Caenorhabditis elegans: one gene and its partners. The protein of the gene in region 1 interacts with the protein of each later gene in a pairwise test. Each region holds a gene or a part of one and is shown in the gene's direction. Other genes may lie near its edges. The genes, in order: lin-15B, golg-2, ifb-2 and C27H5.2.

Region 1 (7,786 bases):
AAATGAATTTAGAAAAAAGATAAAGAAGAATCTAAATACATTTCTGAAAAAATTTAAATCGAAACCACAACTCCATCAATGAATATTTCTTAAATTAAATGAAATATTGGGACGCTTTTTGCGCCGCCTGCAAAAAAGAATAGTATTGCTTATGTAGTTTGTGTTTGAATAAACTCAAAATTGCTCAAAAACAAAAATTCACACTACATTCTCTTTGAAAAAAGTTCCAAAAATTTCCTACTGCAGTTCAAAACTTGAAAAAGAGTTCACTTTTCTAAAGTCTTGAATTTCGTCGGTTTTATATCCCAGTTCACCCAAATCTCAATGTAAAAAAATGTTTTGACTTCAAGTCGTTGCAGAACATATAACTTGAAAAAACTGGAAATGTTAAGCTATATAAATGAAGCTTTTTGTTTAATTTTGAACCATGAGAAAATGGTTCAGAATTTCTTGAAAAACTTCACTATGCCATTTTCAATTTCAAGCAAAAAAAAAAATCAGAACCATTATTTTTCCTAAAACAAAATTGTATTTTTTTTTCGGCTTCACAACGAATAATTCTTCTTCACTAGGTTTAGGAAAAAAAGTCAAAAATCTTTGTGTCTCATATACTTGATACTCAATTATCCTGTCATTTAGAATTTTTTGTGAATATTTTCAAAAAATTTCGAATATTTCCAAGTTCCCACCCTGTGACACAATTTCCCGTCCACTTTCCCGTCCACTATTCCTGCCATCTATCTCCGTTTCTACTTTCCTCATTTTTCGTCTGCCAGTGTCCCAAGTCCGCAATATGTCGTCAAATGTTGGGTTGCGCGCGAAAAAGAGCGCGCGGAATCGAGAGAGAGGAGAGGACGAGGGGGGAAAGTGTGCATGACTTTCTTTCTCATTTCAAATGCGCGATGGCACGGCCGACCGTTTTCTTTCGTCCTTCACAGTTTTCATCTTTTCAAATATCTTTCTTGCTGGGTTTTTTGTTTCCTGTGCCTAATTTTTGAAAGTTCACGAGAAACGAGGGCCACTTTTTAGGACTTTTTTAGAAAAATCACGCAAGGTTTTTGGATTTTTTTGTACGGAAGTACCTTCTTTCTTTTCAAAATTTTCCTTTACTCACAATGGTCATTTTACATTATGAAAACAAATTAACCTTTTTTTAAATATCGTCGCTGCCATAAAATCTAATAATCCGCTGCACGTTTCTAAATAAAAATCAAATTTTGTCTAGAACACTATCTCCTCTCCATTGTCTATTTTCTCCTGCCCACCTGCCATAGTCTCGAACCACATTGCAAGGTTCCATTATTCCAGTCTCCCCCCCATCCTTCTCTGAAATCGATAAGCGTCCCGTTTGCCACAACGCGCGCGCTTGGCCCGCAACACCGCGCGTTGCGGTCGTGTTGCGTGTCGCCTCCCCGCCGCACATTCAAATGGTTCACTTGCCTCACGCTCTCTACTCTCTCGTTCCCGCATTGTATTTCCTCTCGCACGCAGATTTGAAAATTTATAATAAACGCACAAAATTATGTGCTTTTTTCGTTGAATTCGAGTGAACATTTTGAAGTTTTCAGTCAAGTAAAAGTTGTAGAATTCAAATATTCACCGTTTTTTTTTCGGTTAACTTTTATTTTCAAATAATAATGACTTTTTAACCATTCTATCATCTTGTTCTTAGCGTATTGTATCCTACCGTACTTCCTGATTAAACTTGTTGTCTTTCTACACGTATTACCTTGCATGATGACCGAATAATTTATTATTTTTTTTATATTTTCAGGTAATTATGCAAACGCTAAAAACAGCACGACTTACATCAAACCCGGCATCAATTCCGACTTCCAGCAGTAGCAGTGCAATGTACGTTTATTCTTGATTGATAATTTTCTATTCCAAATGCATTCCAACCACATTCAACAAAACATATTTTTTCAGAAGCGCAGCAGCAATTCAAAAGACGCTTGATGCCGTGAATCGCCCACCAGCAGTCAGAGCAAGTGGAATTCTACGTCACCGTACCCTGCCAGCTCCAACACAGGAGACTGCCCACCATCTTGATGCGGACCCAAAGACAACTGAGCTCATGGCTCGCTTCTTCATCAGCCAAGGAATTCCGTTCGAATGTGCACATGAGCCAGCTTTCCTGGAGCTTATGAAACACGTGGATCCGAACTGTGTGATTCCACCTACAAATGTAACGAAAAAACTTGTGGACAAAATCAGCACATCATCTAAACCGCAAGTCAATTACACAAAGACTGTTGGGCCACTCAGTGTTACCATCGACATTTGTGGAGATGAGGACGAAAAGTATCTGGCGTTTTCGATTCATTACTTTGAGGATTTGTACGAGCGCAAAAATGCGATTTATCTGCGGAAATTGCTACTTACCGAGTAAGTTTTTTGGAAGGAAATTTTTAGTTTGAAAATCACAACATCAATGAAACAAATGTAGTTGTGAAATTTGGGTATAGTTGAAATTGTTGTGCCAAAACAATCAAATATCACACTAAGACTTTTCGAAAAATATTTGAAAAGTGGAAATTAGATCATCAAACTGGAAGTTTTTTTTTGTTTTTAATCGGCGATTTCCAAAATCTAAAACTGAGCTTTTTCTCCAATTTCAAAAAATGTATAAAATTTGAAAATTTTATTGGAATTTTTTAGCTCTGATATTTAGTCCTTGTGGTGCCACAAGCATGTTTTAAAACCGGCAACCAAGTTGCCAGTTGCCGAAAATTTCTGCGTTTGGCAACTTCGGCAATTGTCGATTGCCGAAATTTTTTAGGTTGGGCAACTTCGGCAATTGCCGGTTGCCGAAAAACTTTGGGTTCTGGAACTTCGGCAATTGCCGAACGTTTTTTCGGCACTTCGGCAATTGCCGATATCAATGTCAAACATTTTGTAGCACAGAAAAAAAAACATTCGAGAACCTGAAAAATGCTAAAATTTCCCTGTAAACGAAAAAAAACGACTATAATTTTTTTTCAAAACGCTCAAAAATATAATTCCAATAAAAGAAAACTTTGAAACCTGGTTGCCGGTTGCCCAAAAATTACTGAATTACTGAAAATTACGGCAACCAAAAGTTGCCGGTTGCCGAAATTTTTAGAGTTCGGCAACTTCGGCTATTGCCGGTACGTGATCACTGTTTACTATTCCCAAATTTAAAGTTGTTTTCGAAAAAATGGCAACGTAAAATTAAAAATATTTGCAATAATTTCAGGCTAGACAGCAACAGTCTCCTCACAAACATTCGTCGTTCCGTCAACAGCTACAGCTTCTCAAATGTCAAGTTTACGAACATTGTGTGTCCAAACGAAGAGATTTGCAAGCTGGTTGAAGAGAGTGCAGTTGTCAAACGATACAACGTTTGCTTCTACAACTACGTTACCCGTTTTGTGGCCGATTTGATGGAAATTGAAGAGTTTTCCAGTGGGCTGACACAATTGCGAACATTTGTTCGTTATATGAAACAAAATTCGGATATGTATAGCAAATTTAGAAGGTAAATTTAGCGTTTTTAACCTTTATATAAAACCCACAAATTTCAGAATGCAATTGCAAAAGAATGCGGAACTCGACATTCCGAGTATTGACTCTGGCGACTGGCATTCCACTGCGATTTTCCTCACAAGATGTCTTGTTTGGGTGAGTTTTTATTTTCAATTCCTAACAATCATAAACTCTCAATATTTTTCAGCACGACACGTTTACCGAGTTCTGTGGAAAATTAGACATCCTCCACTACATTGACAATGAAACATTCAACCACCTTATATACCTCCAGCGCCTTCTTCAACAATGCATGAAACATTGTCGAGAGCTCAGCATACCGAACAATTCGATTTCTCAAGTTGTGCCAGCCATCATGTCAATTCGCAACTTTATTGCATCGAACTCAATGGGATATCGTTTCCAAAAAAGAATCCGCGATTCGTTTACTACTTCATTCAAAGAGATTACTTCAGGACCATCACAGGATCGATACGATATTGCTACTCTTTTGGATCCACGTTTTGCCTACAGAGATACGGTTTATACAGCACAAACCTGGAGATCGCTCGAGAAAAAAGTCATCGACGACTTTGTAAACTCTGATCTGCAAAATGACAAAAACTTTTATCAAGATATTTCGATCCTGAATCAAGAACAGCGCTATGATATTATTAAAAAGGAGTTTGCTTATTATCGTCAAACTTCATTTGTCGAGCGGCCCGAAGAGAATGAGAATTCGAATCATTGGTGGGGAATGCGTCAGACGGATATGGAATTCTTGGCGGTGATTGCTCGTGAATACTTGGCAAGTCCTGCAGTTTCTATAGACGCTGGGTACTACTTTGGGAACGGTGGAAAATTCCAACACATCTGCCACACCTACTCTCATCAACGCCTCGAGAACTGCTTGGCACTTGCTGGAAACTATCAAACATTTCGTGGAAAAGGAGCATCGGTGGATGTCATTTCTCAATCAATGATTGAGACTTTAAATAACACTGCAAGTCGTCTTCAGAAGCAGGTTCACCTTGGTCTTTATGCACACGGAGTTGACAACATCTCTTCTGATCGAGATGTGCAATCCATTGTCGGCCATCACTACCCTCCGATGCCAACAGTTGCAAACTATGACATTCCACACGTGCCGAAAGAAGAAGAGAAGCCTCCAGTGGCTAACCTGCAAAGTACATCTAGCCCAGCGACGTCCTCTCCAACAATCATCCGCCCTCGTGCAGCACCTCCACCGAGAACACTGGCTCAAGGAAGACCAATCCCGTTGAATGGGAAAGAACTCAAGGCTGTTCCAATCAGGCAGATTCCGCTGCAAGTGAGGCCGTTGCCACCGAGACCAGCCAATGTGCCAATTGTGCCAAGGCCAACTGTTCCACAACAGTTTATCAAAGCACCAGCTCCGAAACCTATCACACTTCAAGCTGTTGTTTGCAGTATTCCAGAAAAGGAAATCAAGAAAGAAACTGAAGACGTAGCGCTGCTGGAGAAAATAAAGGATGAACCACTGGATGAAGACGATTTTAATCATCCTTCAACTGATCCGGTGCCAAACCGAACGACTGCTTCTTCACAAGGACCATCTTCGTATCCACGGAAAATTGTAGTACTGGCCTCAAAACTACCCACGTCGCAAAGCTCATCACCATCAACTGCAACTTCTGCACAAGCTAGATCCCATGTTACCACTGCGCAACTGATCCGATGTGGGCCAAGTGAAGGCACCGTTCCACAAAAAATTCATTCACACAACTTTGTGCAGAAGTTTGCTCAAAAGCAAAATTTTGTTCACAAGTATGCACTGAACTCACAAGACCACACAGGCAGGCTCAACCAAACTGTACCCATGAGAGCTGCGCTGAGGCTTCCAAACAGCGAACAAAAGTCAGGAGCACCTTCTTCGATCAATGGAAAAGTACAGAGGGATGACTTCAAATTGGAACCACTGGACGATTTCAACGGAGAACCCGACTATGACAATTTAATTGGGGCTCAACGGCTTATGTACAGTGATAATCTCAATGACGCATCGGCAGAAGATGCGTTTGCAAGGTAACCTATATTTTTTTCTGAACCTCAGTTTCATTTCCAATTTTCAGGCATCGTGTGACTATGGAATTCCAGAAGCGCAGAGCTTGCAACCGTCGCTGTGCAGTATGTGGTCACTTGGAAATCCACGAGCGTCTGAAGAATGTGACGATTGAAAATGAAAAGCTGTTGATTATGTTGGGCTGTATTTATCGCGGAGAATTTACTCTAGGACAGGCACAGCTTTTCATGGCGCGTGAGAGCAAAACGTACATTTGCCGTCTCCATTTCCTGGAGACCCTCGACGAGATCTACCAGATGCTACGTCTGAAATCTGCCGATGATATTCTGATTTGCCCATTGGACTTGATTCAGAACGCATTGATCACTGTTTCCGCCCTCCGTCCACACATTATTGCTTCACAACTTCGAAAGATTCTTCACGATTTTGCCGAAAGAAATAATCATCTTCGTGAAACGCCAGCGGTAAGTTTCCGTTTTTAAAATTGCACATTTTGAAACAAATTAATTGTTTTTAGGAATTGAAGAAACTTGGACAACAATACTTTGACTACCGCGAGCCCGAACCTGAGCCAGAGAGAAACGATGTGGATGAGCAAGAAATCATACCGAAACTCTTTCGCCAGCCACGCAAGCAAGTTCTGGAAGCTGATCAGCATGACGGAACTGTCAAGGTTATAGAGCAGGAAGATTTCAAGCTCCCAACTGTCAAACCGTCTGAAAATGAGGAATGCGACAATCCGGGCGTTTGCTGCTTCTGTTCGAAACGTGGCGACCGAGGTGGAATGCTTCGTGTCCCGAGAAGTGAGGAACGTTTGGCTAGATGGGTGGATAAGCTTGGACCAGAATTTGAAGCCCGACTTCACACCAATACGGAAAACCTAATTTGCCGAAGCCATTTCCCAGATGCAGCGTTCAGCAGTCGTGGTAGACTTTTGAAAGGAATGATTCCAGATGCTGCTCCAGAAAAAGTTGAGACCACGTATATCATTCAAGGGAACAACTTCCTCAAACTCAAAGAGCGCAAGTCTGGAACTGATAAGAATTCAGCCATTGATTTGGCGAATATGTTAAACCCCGACGGTGTTGAATATACTCAGGAAGAAGAAGAAGAAGAGGAATATGAAGAAATGTCAAGATCCCCAACGGAAGAGACTTCAGACGACGAGCCCAGTCAAGCAGCAGTTTACAACAATGCTCCAGTGATAAAACGTACCTATAGAAAGCGGGAGTTGTCAAACGAGGATGGACCTCTTAACTTGGTAACACCACCTGCTCATACTCCGAACCCAAGAGGGCGCCCAAGGAAGTATCCCAAGAATAGTGTAACACCAGAAGCTGAAAAAAGCCTCACCGACTACGACTACAATCCGGGAACATCTCAACGACGTGCACTTAAGAAAGGTTACGTACAACTCGAAGACGGAGAAATTGTCGGCGAAGATTGCGAATACGTGCCTGAAAAAACACCAAGTGGAAGATTGATTCGACAAGCTGTTGCTAGACGAAGCTTTGCTTTTGCTGATGAGGAAGAGGAGGAGGAAGAGTATGAAGAATCTCCAATTGTTAAAAAGCCCAAGATTGCTGGAAGAGTGAGTTTTTGAAAAATATATGCTTTGAATTATTTTTATATTTTTTCAGCCAGTCGGACGACCGCGCAAAGATGCTAATAAGCTGCCAACCCCCACACCACCCAGCAACGAATAAGTGGAAATATTTTCATCCACCGTTCCTGATTGTTGTTTTTATATATAATTTTTTCTCCATTGATGTTTTTGATGATTAAGTCATACGCATAGTTTTACCCTGTTACTTTGATTGCCCTTAAAATTACCACTTTTATTTTACCTATTTATTTTAATCATCATTCATCTGAAACCTCACAATGATGAGATGATCTCATCATTTTTATATTTTGTAGTTTTATATCAGTTTTATAAATGTTCACCGAAATTTGATGCCAACTGGTTTTTTTCTAATTCTTTCCAAATGGTTTCACATCACCAAATGACAATTTTCCTTTACTTTCCTATCTTGCTTATCATACACTATCACTTATTCAGATTCCTAATGTTGGCTCCAGCGGCTCCAGCTAAAGATGTTGTCTCGGCAGATGAAAAAGAAGAAATCATTGCGAAAAGAAAATTTCGAATGAAAAACGTTGATGCTATGCGAATGTCAAGCTTGGCGAACGATCGGATGGCTTTCAACAAGAAATGCAATGCCCTAGCGATGA
Region 2 (6,027 bases), on another chromosome or scaffold:
ATTGAATCTGTTAAAAATGTATGCGCCTATAAGTCTTACAGTAACCCATAGTTGGTTACTGTACTCCTTAGAGGCGCAAACTACTTTACCGTGTACTCGACGGACATATTTCGGTCGTAGCAAGATCAAGGACTGTATTTTTGAGTGAAAAACTGAATAATAATAGGTTTTACCTCACTTCGTGTGTTTTCTATACAAGTTTGGAATTAATATATAACCGCAGCCGCCAAAGGAGAATTCTTAATTCATTTGCGCAAAAATTAAAAAATAGTTTTGTAGAAATATTTTTGTTCCGAGAAAGTAGCCGTTCTCCTATAGGATATTATAAATATTGCTGAAGTGGAGAGAAAGTTTATAGTACAGTACTCCAAAAAAAATTCAGGGTATATCCGAGTCGCTAAAAAGGAGATTCGATTCGATTTTCTTCTGCAGTCACGAATTCAATTCAATTGGGAATAAATTCGAAACAAAACTAAACCAAAAACTTGCATAAAACATTTGAAAAAAGTGGCGCGGAAGTGACACTGACGGCTGTCCTTTATGTCCGTCCATGTACACAGCTGGAGTAGAAAGATCGATTGTGCTCAGAGCGTGATTTGGAGGAAGGTCGTATTTTATATGCAAGTGACAGTTTCAGATAACACATTTTTTCAGAGAACTACAGTAATGACATTGATTATTTTTCCGAAAGGTTTCTAGGTACTGAACAATTGGTCTTCAAAAATTTCGGAAACTCGTATCAGTGTTTTTCCAAATATTTTTAAAAACTGAGCGAATAACCAAAATATAATCTTCAAATTTGCTTGTGTATTCTAATGCTTTACAGTATACAGAGATAATAGGCTTGTTTATGTTCTCCTACAGTACCCCTCCACACTCGGGAATTATATATTCCTCATTTATCCTTCATTTTTAAATATTTTACATATATCTCATATGAATTCGTTGCTACTATGATCACCATTCTTTTTAATTTTCAGTTTAACACTGTCATGAAAAGTTTTGAAGAACATTTTCCAATATTCACTTCTATGTACTCATAAATTTCGTTTTCCTGCGTATTGTGTCTCTAGTAAGTGCCAATGGGGCGCGTTTTCATCAAAAATTTTTGAAGATATTTTTTTTCCTAGTATTTTTTTATTAATTTTCTTCACATTTTTTTCAAATTTAATACATTCGATTATATAACATATATTTTGCTTCATAAAATTCCCCATTTCCTATGTCCGTTTAAAAATATTTTGTCCCCTTCCGGAATTCCATGACCAATTCAATTCCTTCTAAAATATCAAATTACTGGAAGACTTTGACTTCTCGCTTTGTCCTTTTCGTTTCCAATTTTTAAAACAAATAAAAAGGCAGAAAATAAAACAGATTTTGTTCCAGATGAGATTGACTCGGATTTTGCGTGTTTTAATCAGAAGAAAAGACGGGCAGGCCGAATGGAAGGAAATCACGGAAAATCAGTTACCTAAAGGAGGAAAGAAGCTTTCTTTTAGAGAGGTCTATTTTGATAATCAATTTTAAAAACGAATTAAGTATTTTCCAGAACTCCCTAATCGCATTTGGAGTAGGCATGCTGATATTTTCTTATGCCTACTTCCAAGATGAGATCAATCCTGATTCAAAGTGGGCTAGTGAGTTGATATTCTCAATTAAAATGTTATCTTCAACTACTTAATTCTAGAAGCATACCGCACGTTCACACGAGAACCTCTTGCCTGGCTCACCAAGGGGCAAACCGATTCGCCTGTCTCATCTGATCACAAGCCTCCAGTTTTCTAATTTGCTCGGTTGTTTTTTAGCATTTATTTCCAAAGTTTCGTTAGTTATTTGTACATAAACCTATTATTTTTTCTTTTTTGTGTGAATTTCTGCTGCTTTCATTGCGAACTCGCTTTGTTGTCTGCGCTATGTCGTCAATTGCGGTGTTTGCGTCCAACCACTAATTTCCACGTCTTTTTTCATTTTCAGCTTTTAAAATCGATAGATTTTACTGTTTTTCGGCGTAAAGCTGGATTAATCAGTGATATGGTCGATGCCGCTGCACCTGCCAAAGCTGAAATGCTGGCAGCGGCCAGGAAAAAGGTGAGAATCGTGAGGAAACTTTATTAAAACAAAGTTTATAGAGTAAATTTTACAGCTGAAAGACTTTGAAGCACGTCAAAGACTCGATGGACGTAATTCTCCTGCATCAAGTATCATTTCATCAGAGCCGGGTGCTGGAGCAGGTTTAAATGGACGGAGCAGCGTTGTCAGTGAAGATTCGACAGCGCTTCAAATTCCACACTCATCTTCTTCTGCACAAAGTTTGAATGCAAGAAATGGATTGGATGTGAGAAAATCGATAACATCGTTAAATGAGTAAATGTTTTCTTCAGGCTTCACCATTTCAACCGAACGGAAACGAATGGTATCAGGCATATACACAATTGAAGACCCAGCATGACGAATTGGTAAGGATAATGAGAAATTGACAAATACAAAAACTAATTCGTTAATTATATGAATAATGATTTTATTAAAAAAAAAATCATTTTAGTGTGCCCATTACTCCCAACTTCATTCCGCTTATTCACAAGTCAATGCAAATGGAATACATGTGGATACAGAAAATCAAATTGTCCAACTCCAAAATGTAAGGATTACTCGTTTTATTTATTTTAATTTAATGATGGAGTATTCAGGCATTGTCTGCAATGGTTGAAGAGAAAGTTTCGTCTCAAAGTGATCTTCGTCAGGCAAACAAGCAAATCGAAAAACTTCGACACAAGCTGGCTGCTGCAGAGAACATTGCCAACCAAATGAGCAATTCAACATCATCTGGACTTTCGTCAAACGAAATTCGAAAACTCAATGAAGCAATTGCACAAAAAGATTCCCTATTAACTGCACGTCATCAAGAGCTAGAAGGAGCTCGACGAGAAGTTGCATCAATGCAAGCTAACCTGCTAAATGTTCAACACGAGAGAAGTGAAGCACAAGCACGTGTGAAAAGTATGATAAAAGAAACGGCGGCTCAAGAAAATCGCATCAGTCAGCTCATGAAAGACATTCAAATGAAAGATCTTTATTTGAAACAACTTGGAGCCACAGGACCGCCGGGAGGGATTCCGAATGAGAATACGAATTATGAAAACTTGCAACGTGAGCTGGAGAACGTTAAAGCTGAAAAATCACGTCTTCTCGTCGAATCTGCGACATTAAAAGCTCACTATGCTGATCGAGAGTATGCACTTCAACAAAAGCAAGCAGAGATGGCTTTAGAAATCGAGCATTTGCATAATCAAAAATTTTCTTCAAACGATCAAGTTGAACATCTCGAAAATCAACTCGAAATTGCTCAATCTGAACTGCAGAAGCTTCAAATGAATATGGATGTTTCTGAGAGGCATGATGAAATTCCAACTATCACAGAAGAAGATGTAGCAAGACGGATTCGTGAAGCGTGTTTCGTTGAAAGAGGGAAGTGGGAACGAAGAAGTGAGGATGATCAGAAACGCAGAGAAGAAGAAATTCTAGAAAAAGACAAAGTTATTTTCGAAAGAGAACAGTCATTGGCAGAACTTGAAATGAAATATCGACTTTTGGAAGAACGAACGTTAGAGTCAACTGCAAACGGAGCTGATTTGTTGTCTCTTTCAGAGCAACTACAGGTAGATTTACAATTTTCAATATTTTTCCCTGATTTTTCAAATTTTCGAATTTACAGAACGAAAAAGCGACCGTATCCCGCGCAGTGGCACAAAACAAAGAGCTTAAAGAACGTCTCTTGGAAACGGAAGACCGATTTGTTACTCTTACGAAAGAAAAAGCAGATGTCGAGCTTGCAAAACAATCTGCTGAGCATCAAGTACGGGAATTGACAAAGCAGTTGAATTTAGAAACCGCGGGTCTTGTTGGTAATCTGTCAGAAGTAATCGCTCGACAACCTCATCTCGAAGCATCACAAGAATCTGCTGCAAGTCAAGAACAACGTGAAGAATCTCAAGAAATCGTGAAACTCAATGAAGAATTGAAAGAAAATATCTCAACGCTTCAAAGAGAAAATGCAGAAATCAGATCCGATTTAGAGCTGAAAACTCATGAACTTCAACTGGTCCGTGCTGATTTGAGACGAAGTAACACTCATAATGAACAAATGGACGAAATAATGAGGCAAAATGCAGAAGATGAGAATCAGAATTCGATTCACGTTGAGCTCACTCAAGCAGTTGGCAGAGTTCAGGATCTTCATGCCGAAAATGAAGCACTCAGAGAAGCTTTTAATAATTGCCGTCAACAATTGGAAGATGAACGAGCTGATAGAAGAGCAGAGGAAGAACGGAAAGATCTCGAAAGCAAACAGGAACAGCTGGAGTTGAAAGAAACCAAGGTTCCAGAAGAAGCTGAAAATCAGCAGTCTTCTAGAGAGCTTCATGAAGATCTATGGGCACGAAAAGAATTAGAGAAACGATTCGCTCGAGCAATGCTTCAGAATGCTGAACTCGTTGAGACAATTGATCGATTAGAGCACATCAACCAGCAGCTAGAACTCGAAAATGACACAATTGCTGATCACGTTGTTCTCTATCAGCATCAGAGAAAATTGGTTCGTGAAAGGCTTCGTGTAAAAGATGAACAATTGAAGGCTATGGAAGAGGACAGAACGAAAACTGTTGCACGATGCCAAGAACTGCAAAATGTGTTAATGACTGTACTTAACAAAGGTGGAGTATTAAAGGTAATTAATCTATGAAACTGTAATACCTACAAGCTAATTTTTAGGAATACCAGACAAGCTCAATCTCCCGAAAAGCAGCTCGCCGAGTTTCCCGAAGCTATAGCCATTCGACAGTTGATGAAATGAGCGGAGACGAAGATGTTTTGGTGGACGCCAAATTGGAAGAAGTTCCAGAGCGTGAAAAAGTACATGGTAATAGTGATGATGAGAAGATTCCAAGTACTCCACCACCAACTGTGTTGGAAGCTCAAAATAGTCCACGATTATCGGATTGTTCTGCTGACAAAGATAATAGTGATACTTTCGGGCAAACCCAAGATGCATCTGTTAGACGAATTTTGGAAATTATTTCTGATATCAGTGTAAGTAGAATATTCTTTGATTCATCGTTCCCAAATATATCTTTACAGAGACCCCAAATTCTACCCGCTGGACAACTCCACTGTACACAATGCATTGGAGATCTTCAAGAACTCTGAATAAAAATGTGCATAATGACTTTACTGTAAACTTTCTTTTAGCTTATAATGTGGGTACAACTTTTAGCTAATTATTATTCTTTATTGTTTCCAGTCCCCGTTTTTTTTGTAAATTTCGACTCTCCCGCTGACTTATTTAAATTATCGTTTTCATCCCCCAATCACTTCCTGTGTTCATTTGTGATATTTATAAGTGACAATTTTCTATTAATTTTATTGAAGTCCGATTAGTTGGTAAGCAAATGGTAATTATTATTTATTTTTTCGTTAATTATTCTTCTTGGGAATAAATGTAAAAACTTTAAAATGTAACTCTCCCCAGTGCTCTTTTATCGGGTTCAACTTGATTTTCCAGAAACTTATTTTGATTTTCAGAGACTTGCTTTTCAAATACAAAGAAACTACCAATAGTTGCTTATTCCAGATTTCAATAAAAAATGCGATTACCATGTGAAGTGGTTTTTGCACGTTATAAAGCAAATGCCGGAGTTAATCCAAAACCCACGAAATCGCAAAAAGGATTTGTTATTCTGCAAAAACTTCGACAGGTAATTTAAATTTTCATAAGTTAATATGTAACAAAACAAAAAAATATTTCCAGACCCCTCCACAATATCAGATAACAGTGGCCGTGGCCGGTGACAAAACTGGAAATAAATTCGAGCTCAACAAGCCGCCAATTATTCTCGACAAATTTATTGCTCAAGGAAAAACCACTATCACATTTCAAACAACTCCTGCTGTGATGGTTTGCATCAGTAAAGTACGTGTAAAGCATTTTTCAATATAAAAATAATAATTTTTATTGTTCAGGCGAATCCAGAA
Region 3 (5,819 bases), on another chromosome or scaffold:
AGAGAATATGCGAAATGAAGAACACGATAAATGAAGTTTGAATGAAAGTACAAAGACTAGTCGTGAGGACTGAGCAAGATGTATGGAGTTGTAGAGAATACCAAAAGCAAAATTCTTTAAACATCCTGTTTTTTGGTATTCATACTTTGGCTAATTTTATAAAGTAATTGACCACAAAAATGAGAAAGAAGCATAAACGGAAGAATTGTATTAAAAAAACAAAACACTGTATTTCCAAAAATTTCAAAATTCCAATTCATGCTGATTAGCAGCTCGCGGACTTTAATATTTGAAAAAGAAGAGGTGTGGTTGATTTTTAGTTTTTTAAAGGTTAAATAATTAAAGCGATGTTTCGAATTATTTTGGAATTCCAATCATAGTTTCAATTCGATGCTTTTTCAATTTCGAAAATGCACAATTTTTAAGAACTTTTTAGCAAGGGTTTTATGACTCACAAAACTCTTTAATCAGAATAAAATGTTAACCAGAACACTTGAAAAGTTACGCTCCGCCGGTAGGTAGGTCTTCCTACCTACCTAGTTATATTCGTCTGCAATTTGGCACAAAATCTAGAGGTACAAGACAGCGCGTAGGTAACCTTCGAGTTTTTTGTGCCTACAAGGGAATTCGTTCACTGTTGCAAGATTCACCTATTTTGTTGTTATCAAATTATTGCGATGAACTTTTAAGGAATTACTGTAGCTGTTTTTTTGTGAAAAATAACACAGATGGTCTTTTTAAGATAAGACACCTCAAGTTCAGTAGACAACAAGAGTAAACAAAGTTTTTTCAGGAAATACTTGTAGCTTTTGAATTACAGTTTAAGAGAGAATTGAATTGATGAAGAGATTTTGATTGAACCTTCACATCTTCAAAATTCTAGAATTTTTAAAATTAAACATTTTTGAATATGACAATACAAGCGAAAATATTCTGTCAATTAAATCCAGATAAATTTGTAAATCCTTAAAAATTAAATTGAAAGGAATCTAGAAGACAAAATGTTTCAGTTCTGAAATATTCCATTGTTGCCGATTATGTTCTGTTGTAACCTTATTAACATTTCATTCGTCATAGTTTCTAGTAAAAAGTTTCAGACTTTGCGGTTCTTAACACCTTTTTTCAAATGTCAACTTCCTCATCATTCCCAGTCAAATGTCATTTTGTTTCATAAATACAAAGAATGTAAGAAAGAGTAGTTTCTTTTTTTCTTCTTTTCACCCCCTCCCCTCCGTTTTCCATCTCTAAACTCGGACTGATAAGTCACCATAAAAGAGAGTGGAATCGAGCATTGCCAACTGATAACCCTCTTTCTTTGCTCTCTCAAAATGCCATTGTAAAATCAAACCTACTACTCCGCGTTTTGTACGGTTTGGTGTTAAGACTCTTTATTTTTTTGAAGATTGAACGTTTATTATTGGTGTTGGTTTTTTAACTGCTGAAAGTGTGAAAATAACATTGTTTTCTTATTCTATTTATTTTTATCTTCTTTTGTTATTAACATCTTTTGTTTTATTTTCAAAATTTTAGCGACTTCATCATGTCGGCGGTTAGTTATTCGATGCACAGAACCACCACAACTACATCCTCCTCATCACACGGAGGTAAGCACTTTTCTTCAAATTTCCAACAGTCACACGACCTCGAGAGTTTTCTCCGAGGAATCCATAATATGGTGACACTAGTTTGTCTGAAATTGATCTCCTCCATTGTCTCAATCTTTTTCTTTGTTTCAAATCTCTTTGTCGGCTTTATTGACACCGTTGTGAACTCCTTTCACACATTGCCGACTAATCCTAGCAGTTTCTCTAGATTATGGGCTTAAGTTAAAATAACTGATGTTTAAATAAAACCATAAGTTTCGACAAATTAAACTCGATCTTAACTTTTAATTCACGATATCAATAAAGAATTGAGACGAGAACTGCAGCGTAGGGACAAACTGCAAAATGGCCTGTTCCTAGATGGTAGCATATAATACTTTTCAGTGAAAAATCAGATTGTTTATGACAAGATAGATCACTCTTATAAGTAGGAATTTTCTGATTGCTAGCCCAAATTGTGAAAAAAAAAGAATAAATATGCCACATTTAACCAATTTACTCTGCTCCTGCTTTGCATTACTTTGACAAATCATATCTCGATTGTTATTATTTCATCAAATAATTTTCAACACTAAAATCACTCTACATTGTTATAATTAAACAATTTTGATGAAGCCTACAACAATTAATATGAGCTGTCAAAATGAAGCAGTGGGAGTGCAAGACTAATAGGAAAAACGGTATATAACACGGAAAATTGTATATCTTAAATCTCAAAGTACAACATTAGCTGTAACTAACTCTATTTTTTAAAATTTCTATTTTAATATTGTGAAAAAATTTGGAAAACAGAGGTTTATTCAGACTTTTGTTTTACATATTCGTACTAAATTAATTTTTAAAAAATGAGTTTGTATTGCTTTTTCCAAACCCTTCACAATAAGACACTTTCACAAAATTTAGTTTATAACAATAAAAAATATGGTCCTTCTTGGAGCACTGCTTAAACATCGGAACACAGTTTACATAATATTTCAGGTGTCTCAGCCGGCCATGCCGCTGAGGAGTTCGTTGCCTCTGCCGAGCGCGAGAAGCAAGAGATGCAGCAGTTGAACTCTCGCCTTGAAGTTTACATCAGCCGTGTCCGTCAACTTGAGGATCGTAACAAGGAGCTTGTGATTGAATTGGACACCCTCCGAGGATCACTTGGAAATGACATCGGACAGATCAAGGTTTGTGCCCCGAAATTACAGGAGAATCTGAAACACTTTTAGTTGTTGACACAATTTCTCTCTTATCAGATAATATCAATTCTTCTCAAACAAAGCGCCCGTTGCCAAATGTGCAGGCGTAAGGAATTTAAAAGAGAAACTGAAAATGGCACTGATAAGATGACAAGTAGTGCTCTGGAGGAAATGGGTGTGTATGTGTGTGTTAAGATTGCCAATAAAATTAATTGAAATTGATCTTGAGGGGTTAATAATGTTGCATCAGAATAATAAACTCAACGTTTTGTAGTTCAAATTCAACGATTCGTTGGTCAAAGTTCGCCGTGAGATCTCAGAAGCTCATTCTGGAACTATTGGAGTTGAAGTTAAGGTCGACAGATTGAGAGATGATTTGAATGACTACAGACACAGGTAACAATTTATTTGCATATTCCATTCTAATGGCAAATATTTCAGATATGAAGAGGCCCGTCGTGAAGTTGAGCGTGAGAAGACCACTTGGGGAGGAGCTATTTCACAAGCACAAGCTGAGCTTGACACAAACAAGTCCCGCTATGCCGCCATTTTGGACGAGGAAAAGAGACTTTATGCTGAACAAGATCAACTCTATCTTCAATTGGCTGCCGCCAAGGATGAGCTTGACGCCGCAATTGTTGATCGCCGCCGCCTTCAAGCTGAGGAAGATGACCTCAAGATTGAGCTGGAATTCTTGGGAAGAATCCACTCTCAAGAAATCACTGAGCTTCGCACTCTTCTTGCTCAAGCTCCAGCCGACACAAGAGAGTTCTTCAAGAATGAATTGGCTCTTGCTATCAGGTTGGATTCAAAAAAAATGATATAGTTTTATTGTCTAATTTAAATTATTTCAGAGAAATCAAGGCTGAATACGACAAGATCATCCAAACCACCAGAGTTGATCTTGAGACAATCTTCCAGAGCAAGATTAGCGCCGTCGAATCATCAATCGTCTCCAAGAACGAGGCTGCCGTTTTCCGTCAAGAGGAGATCAGAAAGATGAACGAGAGCATCACCACATTGCGAGCCAAGCTCAGCGAGCTCGAAGCCCGTAACTCTGCTTTGGAGAGAGAAGCCAACACACTCCAGATTCAACTCGGAGAAGATCAAAGAGCTTACGAATCAGAGCTTCACAAGAGAGACAATGCCCTCCGATTTATGCGTGAAGACTGCCAGACTTTGATTGCTGAACTTCAAGCTCTTCTTAACACCAAACAAACTTTGGATACTGAGATTGCCATCTACAGAAAGCTTGTCGAGTCCGAGGAAGGAAGGTAATATAAGTAACAAAAATATCTCTCAAAAAGAGCAACATATACTTTAATTGATTGTCTCATTCTTCCATTTTATCATTTCCTTACTTTCACAGATTCACTCATGTTGGACAGGGGGTCGTTGTCGCCCAGCAGGAGACTACAAGGTTCGGTAGCTATAACCGCTTCATAGACATTAACATACTGCACACGTAGATATTTAGAATCTAGTTTTATTTCCTAGTTGACTTCCAGAACAGAAGGGGATTCCACTCCCGTTGTTTTAAATGATCAGCAATACTCTGACAGTCATCAATATCAGCAATATCCTGAGTAGGAATCTTTAATAGAATCAAGATATATTATATGTAATACCTTTCAGAGTGTATCCGCAAGGAACTTTAAGGTATCCTAGATTGTAGATTAGTTATTCATAGTATAGTTTTCATAGATCATCTCAACATCAAATTGGCAGAGGTACCAATGTACTAGTTTCAGATCAAAGGTTACTCGTAGTGATACAGTAGTTTATAGCTAATTGCTTTCACAATTCATGCTCTTTCACTTGCACTTTTTCTCTTTTTCACGCACTTCCTTATCTCAACACACTGCTTACTTTTCACATCACCTATTTATCATTTTCTTGGCTAACAATTTTTGTTAGTCAGCAAATCTCAAGGCTTTTAGCTGAAAACATGCACTTTCAGCTTAATCTATCCCCGTTAATTTTAAATTGTTATATTAAATTCTACAGATTGGTACCAGTCGAGCAAGATCACTGGGACTCTGGAGAGGTTCAAACTCGTTCCTCATTCAAGAGACACGCTAAGGGAAATGTGAGCATCGTTGAGTGCGATCCACAAGGAAAGTACATCATTCTTGAAAACACCAGTGGATCAGTTGTGAGTTTAGATCTTTATTTTTATTTTGAACATGAAAAATTGGAAAATTGCAGGCCGAAGATGTAAGCAACTTTGAAATCCGTCGTGTTATTGATGGAGTTCAAGCCTTCGTTTTCCGTCTCCCATCTCACTTAGTTATTCAACAACACGGACATCTTAAGGTATTAATTATTATAAAATTAGATATCATATTGAAACCGGAATATTACAGATCTACGGACGCAATTCAGGAGGAATTAACTCACCACCAGACTCAATTGTGATGGAATCTCACCCATCATGGGGACAAGGAGGACAAGTTGAAACATTCTTGTACAATAGTCACGGAATTGAGAAGGCTTCGCACATCCAGACGACGGTCGCTTCTTCCCGTTAAGAAATCTCCATCATCTAATCGATTTCTTTTTCGATGAATTTAAATTTATTCTGAAATGCCCATTGAATCCTTTCCTTGCTGTCTTCACTCCCAAAATCATTCGACGTACATACTTGCTACATTCCAATCCAATTGTTTTTTGAAATAAATTGTTCAATATTGTTTTAGTTCAAAATCATTGATGATTAAAAGAAGTGTACTTATCACGATACTTCCCAAAAAAAATTTCTTGGTCAAAAGTGGGTCACGATAACTCGGTCTAAAACCATTTCTAAAAAAAATTTTTTTCGCTTTTTTTTTCGACAATTGTTTTAAGCCATTTAGTTATGGTTTTCGAAGGTTTTTTATAATAGTAATAATAATTAAAATTAGGAGTGGTTTTGAACCGAGTTGTCGTGACTCGCTCTTGACTGAGACTACATTAAAATACATTCTACAGAATTTTTGGAAATGATTGAACACGTTGCAAGCTGTACATATATTTTTCAGCACTAAGGGAA
Region 4 (7,481 bases), on another chromosome or scaffold:
AAAATCAATTGAAGGTGTATTATTGCGCGGTCGAAATCTGAAAACATTTTACTGTGGTGTTAGCATGAGAGAAGAAGACAGAAGACTCCATTCAAGAATGATGTTTTGCAGACAGGGCGGACCTCCAGGAGGAAGAGGAGGTTATCAAGGTATTGAATACGTAAATTGCTTTATCTTTCGTACCACAACGAGTTTATTACCAAAATTAAAAAAAAATGGGTATCCTACCGAGTTTATCATCGAAATTCAAAAACAAAAAACATTAAACGAATATAAAAATACTTGTTCCTGTGCTTTATATTATTGACAGTTGGACGAAAAAATTGTTTGTAAAAGTTTTCATATTTTCATTGCAGACAGAGGACCCCGACGTGACGGACCACCAAGTGGAGGAGGATACGGAGGCGGTGGTGCTGCTTCAGGAAACCGCGAATTCGGATCCGATGGGCGAGTTGAGTTGAAGGAGACCGTCTTTGTGCAGGGAATTTCCACCACGTATGTTTTGTAATCGCCCAATTAAAAAATGTATCTATATTTCAGTGCAAATGAAGCCTACATCGCCGACGTCTTCAGTACCTGCGGAGATATTGCAAAGAACGATCGCGGACCGAGAATCAAGATTTACACCGATCGCAACACCGGAGAACCAAAAGGAGAATGCATGATAACATTCGTCGATGCTTCTGCAGCTCAACAAGCTATAACTATGTACAATGGGCAACCATTCCCTGGCGGCTCAAGCCCGATGAGTATTTCACTAGCCAAGTTCCGCGCTGATGCAGGAGGTGAACGAGGTGGTCGTGGTGGACGAGGCGGTTTCGGAGGTGGTCGTGGTGGTCCTATGGGAGGACGTGGTGGCTTTGGCGGTGATCGTGGAGGATATGGCGGCGGCGGTGGTCGTGGAGGATTCGATGGTGGTCGCGGTGGTGGCGGTGGATTCCGTGGCGGAGACCGAGGAGGATTCCGAGGTGGTGATAGAGGAGGCTTCCGCGGAGGAGATCGTGGAGGATTCCGAGGCGGCGACCGTGGTGGCGATCGTGGAGGATTCAGAGGAGGCCGTGGAGTAGGTGGCGGAAATGCTAATATGGAACAAAGGAAGAATGACTGGCCATGTGAGCAGTGCGGAAATAGCAACTTCGCTTTCAGAAGAGTTAGTTAATTTTGTTTTTTCAAAAAAAAAACACGGGTTTTCTTCTAGGAATGCAATCAATGCCAAGCCCCGAGACCAGATGGAGGATCCGGAGGTGGTGGTGGCGAGCGACGAGGAGGACCACCAGGAGGTGACCGATACCGTCCATATTGAGCCATCAACTCGTCTCCCCATAAATTTTAACATCTAATTTAAATTCTCTGATCTCTTCAATGTGAGAGACTTGTAACAATTTTATATCCACCTTTATATTCTACTTCGATACATTCAAATTTCAATGTTCTTTTTATATTTCATTTTTTCCCACTTTTTATTTTTAACGAAAATAAAAATTTTTGCACATTAACATCTGTTTTTTTTGCAATTGTCCGCATTTCCCTACCCATCAGCTGCTTTGCGTGTCACTGTCTGTTTTCTCTCCGCACTTCATCTCTACGTCACACTATCTGCTTCTCCATCTCTTTCGTCTCGACCTCCCTTTGCCTCGGCGCCCACCTCTCATTCTTCCAATTTACCCGGGAGAGACTGTCCGTTCGAAACTTCGACCGACTAATGAGCAGTATTACAGGACTACAAGGTAAGATTCGAAGAAATCGCTATGAGAATAGATTTTTAGTAAGATTATTCTCGCATATTCAGAATAAAAATATAAAACTATCAATGAAAGTTATTTTAGATTCAGAATTAAAGTATAGTTCTTAAACTTTATGATTGATAGGCTCTACGAACATTTAATTTGAAGATAAAAACGTAGAAAGTTACATCGTAATTTAAATAGACTCTGACATGCCTTCACAAAGGCACACGGATTTATTCAGATGGGTCTTCGCGCGCAAAAAAGTTAATGGTAGTTTTTTTTAAATTAATTTTCATTATAATTTTAAATCTGATTCTGAATAACCAGTAGTTTTTATTGAAAATAAACGCAGTCGCTAAAATCCAAAAGCAGACTACCATAAACTTTTTCGCACACCAAGACCCATCTGAATATATCCGTGCGCATTAATCACAACCAAGGGTGTCAATTCCCGTTTCCCGTTTTTCCCGTTGTCCCGTTTTTGGGGTGTTTTCACGGGAACGGGAATTCCCGTTGTCCCGTTTTCGAAATTTTTACGGGACATTGACACCCTTGATCACAACAGCTGTTTGATTTTCAATAATTACATCTATGTAGTTGCACAAGTATTCAATTTTGAAAATAGTTTTTTTGTTTTTGAACTTTCCTATTGAAACTATTTGATAATGGTTAATGAACATGGGTCTCGCCACGCTGACAACGGGTTACTGTAACTCGTTAGAACTTACAGGTAGATATTACATCATATTTTTGTTTAATACAATTCCGCCACCAGTACCTCGTTTAATTTGAAAAGGTTGATACAATCTCGGTCCATAAATTAATATGAGCTACAGTAACTCGATGTCCGCGTGGCGAGACCCATGCACGTAAGATATGGCGAAAATTCTAATGTGCATAATAGGAATTCAATTTTTAATTTTTTTTGTGTGGTTTATTTTATATAAATACTCTCCTCGCTTTCAATTTCATTTTTTTAATTTTTCAAACTCAAAAAACACACATAGAAACACATAGAAACAAGAAGCTCTTTAAACATTTTCAATTCTTTTGTCCTTCTCCTCATTTTTTCTCCGGCACAATGAGCTTATTCGGTCATGTCAATGTCTGAGTCTCTATATCTTCAGTTGATATTTTGCCTATTTACCCAATGACCTACGAATCGTGTTTCGAATCAAAAACTTGAAAAAATTTGTGTTTGCCTACATTTTTTTGCCCCACACAATTTCATCTTCTTCAATACCCGTAACTACTTATATAATTTGGTTTCATATCTAATCAAACAAGTAATAAAACGGAAGGAAGATGGGAGATATTTAAAAGTAAAATAGATATGTTTGCAGTTAAATCTCTTCGAATCGGGGTGGAACCTGTTGAAGTAGAGTTAGATGAAGATGCTGGTATCTTGTGGACTTCACTTCAAACTGCATTTCCAGGTGGGTTACTGTAACGGAACACAAGAAGATAATGCATTTTAATTTGATGCATTCAGGCTTGTGTCAAACAAAAAACTTCTAGAAAAAATAGCAAGAACATTTGGATTTGGCAGTTGTAAAACATTTTTAATCAAATCATAGACAACCGAGAAGCTAATAGAAGAAAGAAGACAGTTCTTCAGTTTTTCATAATTTTTGTGACTTTTTTCAAAATAACAATCAACACGAGTACACTGTAGGTACTGTAGCCAGAAATTTCCAAATTCTTGTTGAATTTTCCTTTTTGTGAATGTTTTCATTTGACAACACACAAACTGTATCATTTTTTGATGATTCACGTGAATTTCTGCTGACAAGACAAATAGATAATAGCGGAACAGTCCGTGTTATTTTTGTTACCACACACCCCTCTGATGTAGGCATCAAACATGTCACCTCACCCATAGAATTGTTATCACTTCTCATTTCTGCTAACCTTTTTCTTGGTTTATTTCAATGTAATCAAATCGAATCAACATGTATGCAAAGTATGCGAATAATTGCAAAAGAATTGGCGCCCAAAAAGAGAGAGAGAGAGAGAGAGAGAAGAAGAAGCTTTTCTTATCTGTTACAGTCTGTGTCTTATTGATCCGTATATTTTCTCAAGGGTTTTACAGAAATTGATAGCAGCAGGAACTGGAGAGAATGAGAAAAAATGAAAATAAATAGGAAAAAAAATTACAGGATGTTCTGGGATGTACTACCGAGAAATCGGTGACTCATGCAAGAAATCAGTGAAATTTGATGGAAAAAAGTTTATGGCTCCTGGCGGAGCATGGAATGATCGAGAATACTTTGTGACTTTGAGTAAGATTTACCACAAGGACATACCGCAAACAACTTTGTTTAGGTCAAAGATGTCATACAGCTGCTGGAAATTCGGGACATACTGCTTCTTACAGCGACGCCACAAAACAATTTGAAAAAAGTGTGCAAGCAGTGCAGAAAATGATGTTGGCTTCTGGAATGAAAATAGGTGAGAAGGGTCATTCAGCACATAATTTTCATAATTTTTACCATATGAAATCAATTTATTCCTGAAATCAAACATACAAACTGCTCTTTGAGATATGAGCCATCTTACAAAGAAGCGCCAACACACTTCTTCTCGTGAAACAGCTTCATCAACTTCATCATCTACAGTAACCCCTGATCCGATTCAAGCAATTGAGGTAGGTATCCTTTATTTTGACATTTTTATTCACAAAAAGATGTTTTCACAAAATCAATTTTTTAGGAACGCTCACAAATGTTGAAAACCGCTGGAAGAGAACTAAGCCCATTGGAACAACAATTTTTGGATTTATGCCGTATTTCAACTGCGAAAGATCAGATTATTGATGCCAATCGACAGGAAATCACAAAGATGAATGAAACGTTACGAATTTTGGAAAAAAACTTGAAGGAGACCGAGACAAATTTATCTGAAGCAAATGCGATGGTTGATTGCAAACAGCAGGAATTGGAAATGGTCAGTGAAGCATTAAAACGATTGGAAGAGTCGAGGCATACTGTAAGACAAAGATTTCCAGTTTCAAATATTTATTGATAATTTTCAGATCAGCGAGTTGAACCGAAAATCTGGAAATTTGGAGGAAAATGTTACCGAGCTGCAAATGAAATTGATGAATGTAGAGGAGGAGTAAGTGGAGGTGAATAGCAAACGTTTCCATATTTCACTAGTATTTCAGAAATCACGGACTAAAAGCTCAACTTGAAACAAGTCACAATAGAATAAAAGAAATGTCTGATACTATATCAATGCTTACTTCATCAAAGGATATTTTGTCAAAAGTAAGAACAATTGTTATTCAGATTTCAATAAAATGTACCTACTTCAGGAACTGGATCAATTGAGACCATTCGCAGATGCAGCTGGAATTGAGGATTATGAGAATATCCCAACGTTTATTCACGCAATTCAGGAAAATAAGGAACTTCGGAAAACAAATGAAAATATGAAACTTCAATCAGAAGAAACAAAAGATAATCATAAACAGATGCAAAGTATTCATACAGAGGTTTTCGAGGAAAATGCTAAATTAAGGAATAGGTTAGATTGATGGAGTTATTACAAATTTTTGGAAAATTTATAATTTAGAAACGAAGATTTGGAACGAAGATTTGCACATGTTGATGATGAACTCGCTTGTGTGAATGAGAATTGGGCAAAAGAACTGAAAGAGAAACAACAAGATTGGGATAAAGTTGTAAGTTTCTACTTAAAAAATTGAATCGAAATTGGGCGGGATGAAAAAGAGACTGTTAGAAATCCATTTCTAATGTTTAATAGTTATTTTATGCCAAAGAAATTAATTAATTTCAGAAATACGCAGCAGAATCAGAAGTGTTATCTCTACGTGAACAACTTGTCCATCTTCAATCAATTCTTGAATCAGCAACCCGGGAAGCAGCAGAAAATGCTCGAAGGTCAGCTGATCCTCTGCTCGAGTATTCTCTTATCTAGATCACTCTTGCATTTTTTCTATTTTTTAATTCAGAAACGTCATCTGGGACTGGTAGATTCGTAGACTTGGTAATTGATAATTCGAATATTTTTATTATTTTTAAACCATAATCTGAAAGAAATCTTAACAGTCTCAGTTGATAAGTAACCAAAATAATTGATTGAATGCCCTGAAAATGCACAAATTTTCGTTTCCTTCCAACGTACCTGGAACGTTTTGATCCATATTCCTTTTATCTCACTTTTTCCCAAAAAATTCCGGTTTCTTCCGTTTAACGGTTTTCCTTCTCGGTTATGCTCAACCCTAATCAGTTTTCGTATTTGTAAATAGTTTTAAAATGAATAAAATTTTTGGATTCATAACCGTTTTTGTTCAATAGCAAGGAATACCGTTAAATGGGAGAATCAACTGCAATATCATTTTAAAAATCTGTTATTTTATAGGCCACTTTTCCATTCCAGCACAGTTTTTGAAAACTTTTTGTCAAAGTTTTGGCAAATTGTCTCAAAATCCTGGACTTTTTGAGAAATTTATAAGGACATTTTATAGGGCATTCTTGATTATCAAAGCTCTACTAGGTTTGAACATTAAAAAAAATATAAATAGTAGAAAAGACAGTTTTTGGTAAACTTCCAAAATTGTAGTAGCTGAAAACTATTGAAAATTTATGAATATTTTTGCAAAGTTTAATAATAGTTGTGAGATTTAATTGTTTCAAGAGTGTTAAATCTGAATAATTACAGAGTATCAGAATTGGAACATGAACGTCATGAAGTTCGACGTCTCTCCGATGCAATGCATATAAAAGCTCAGGTGAGCGGCAGTCCAGTCCATCGTCTGTCGTCTTCAATTCGCTTTTAACTAAAAAAACCCATTTGGCTTATCATTTCATTATGAATCAATTTCACAAAATCACGACACATATCTGATTATTTTAAGTTCTCAATAAATTATTTTTATTTCATGTTTTTGCTGTGAAAAGCTGATTTTATGTTTGCATGGCTTCGCTTTAAATAATTTCAAATATCTAACATATTCAATTTCCGACTATTCCAGGAAGATCTAGCCCGTCAAGTGAGAGTTTTGAAAGAAAGACTCGCAGAATCGGATAGTCAAGTTGCTGAGCTCAATGTGCTTGTTTCTTCGTTGGCAGCAGATGCCACAGCTTCACGCAGAGAAATTTCAGATCTTTTGTAAATAATTCGATGAAAATATTTGATGATAATCCGAGTGTGCTTCAGTTTCTATCTAAAAAATAACGGCGTAGATTTAGAGTATGTAATAAAGAGTTTCTTCACTGACTTGTAAAAAGTATGAACAGTTTACATATATGATTTAATTTTTATCGGTACAAAAACTATACTGATTTGGGCTAGTGCTAGGTCTAAAAATTGCTTGATAATGAGAAGTACTGTGTTTTTTCACTACAATTCTTGCTGGAAAAATTAATGTTGAATGGGAAGGACTGAAAATAGTTTTAGCAGCACAGAAGTTTGACTAAGAAAAAATTATCAATGGGAAAAACTGAGCCACCTTTCATCGTAAAATCAAATCAAAAACGAGAAAATACGTTTATATTTATGAATAAATTGAAAGTAATAAAATATATAAAGGCACGTAATTGAAAAAGGTTAACAACGGAAGCATTTAATCAATTGATTGGCATTCTATTTTGTTGAGTGTATTGAATATTTTCTTCAACAAGTTGAACTCGAAATACAAATCCATACCCTTAACGGTATCAAGGGAAAAACATCTTTCGATACATTGTTCAAAATCTTGTCCAGAATTATTTCATTATCAAACACAGC

What was found.
Region 2: the proteins of lin-15B (region 1) and golg-2 interact in a two-hybrid assay, tested with the Caenorhabditis elegans proteins (one large-scale study listed by BioGRID).
Region 3: the proteins of lin-15B (region 1) and ifb-2 interact in a two-hybrid assay, tested with the Caenorhabditis elegans proteins (one large-scale study listed by BioGRID).
Region 4: the proteins of lin-15B (region 1) and C27H5.2 interact in a two-hybrid assay, tested with the Caenorhabditis elegans proteins (one large-scale study listed by BioGRID).

Annotation. Positions count from the first base shown.
Region 1 is NC_003284.9:15,724,355-15,732,140, forward strand, and holds lin-15B (Protein lin-15B), read left to right. Parts: upstream 1-1,774; 5' UTR 1,775-1,780; coding exon 1,781-1,854; intron 1,855-1,929; coding exon 1,930-2,388; intron 2,389-3,220; coding exon 3,221-3,502; intron 3,503-3,548; coding exon 3,549-3,645; intron 3,646-3,697; coding exon 3,698-5,553; intron 5,554-5,600; coding exon 5,601-6,015; intron 6,016-6,068; coding exon 6,069-7,142; intron 7,143-7,191; coding exon 7,192-7,257; 3' UTR 7,258-7,507; downstream 7,508-7,786. Other genes in the region: Protein lin-15A, read left to right, coding at 7,621-7,786. UniProt on the Caenorhabditis elegans protein: Synthetic multivulva (synMuv) class B protein. SynMuv proteins are required to repress the induction of vulval development. Acts redundantly with SynMuv class A protein lin-15A to negatively regulate vulval development. Regulates let-23 basal activity.
Region 2 is NC_003280.10:5,036,039-5,042,065, reverse strand, and holds golg-2 (Golgin subfamily A conserved domain-containing protein), read left to right. Parts: upstream 1-1,974; 5' UTR 1,975-2,031; coding exon 2,032-2,088; intron 2,089-2,143; coding exon 2,144-2,335; intron 2,336-2,381; coding exon 2,382-2,456; intron 2,457-2,542; coding exon 2,543-2,638; intron 2,639-2,687; coding exon 2,688-3,656; intron 3,657-3,712; coding exon 3,713-4,723; intron 4,724-4,767; coding exon 4,768-5,085; intron 5,086-5,133; coding exon 5,134-5,202; 3' UTR 5,203-5,508; downstream 5,509-6,027. Other genes in the region: F33G12.7 (uncharacterized protein), read left to right, coding at 1,387-1,503, 1,550-1,637, 1,688-1,785; lrr-1 (PIF1/LRR1 pleckstrin homology domain-containing protein), read left to right, coding at 5,640-5,750, 5,804-5,965, 6,016-6,027.
Region 3 is NC_003280.10:5,748,660-5,754,478, forward strand, and holds ifb-2 (Intermediate filament protein ifb-2), read left to right. Parts: upstream 1-1,540; coding exon 1,541-1,604; intron 1,605-2,582; coding exon 2,583-2,776; intron 2,777-3,062; coding exon 3,063-3,184; intron 3,185-3,229; coding exon 3,230-3,589; intron 3,590-3,642; coding exon 3,643-4,062; intron 4,063-4,157; coding exon 4,158-4,208; intron 4,209-4,296; coding exon 4,297-4,374; intron 4,375-4,423; coding exon 4,424-4,447; intron 4,448-4,795; coding exon 4,796-4,943; intron 4,944-4,996; coding exon 4,997-5,104; intron 5,105-5,154; coding exon 5,155-5,319; downstream 5,320-5,819. UniProt on the Caenorhabditis elegans protein: Cytoplasmic intermediate filaments provide mechanical strength to cells. Not essential protein.
Region 4 is NC_003280.10:7,153,981-7,161,461, forward strand, and holds C27H5.2 (TAR DNA-binding protein 43 N-terminal domain-containing protein), read left to right. Parts: upstream 1-1,600; 5' UTR 1,601-1,702; coding exon 1,703-1,727; intron 1,728-3,070; coding exon 3,071-3,163; intron 3,164-3,886; coding exon 3,887-4,009; intron 4,010-4,052; coding exon 4,053-4,178; intron 4,179-4,270; coding exon 4,271-4,374; intron 4,375-4,439; coding exon 4,440-4,715; intron 4,716-4,761; coding exon 4,762-4,844; intron 4,845-4,893; coding exon 4,894-4,996; intron 4,997-5,043; coding exon 5,044-5,255; intron 5,256-5,303; coding exon 5,304-5,412; intron 5,413-5,528; coding exon 5,529-5,632; coding exon of another isoform or gene 5,633-5,669; exon of another isoform or gene 5,670-5,703; coding exon of another isoform or gene 5,704-5,725; exon of another isoform or gene 5,726-6,029; intron 6,030-6,413; coding exon 6,414-6,483; coding exon of another isoform or gene 6,484-6,531; exon of another isoform or gene 6,532-6,634; intron 6,635-6,726; coding exon 6,727-6,867; 3' UTR 6,868-6,981; downstream 6,982-7,481. Other genes in the region: fust-1 (RNA-binding protein FUS), read left to right, coding at 112-149, 357-495, 541-1,150, 1,199-1,303; C27H5.12 (Ferrochelatase), read right to left, coding at 7,368-7,481.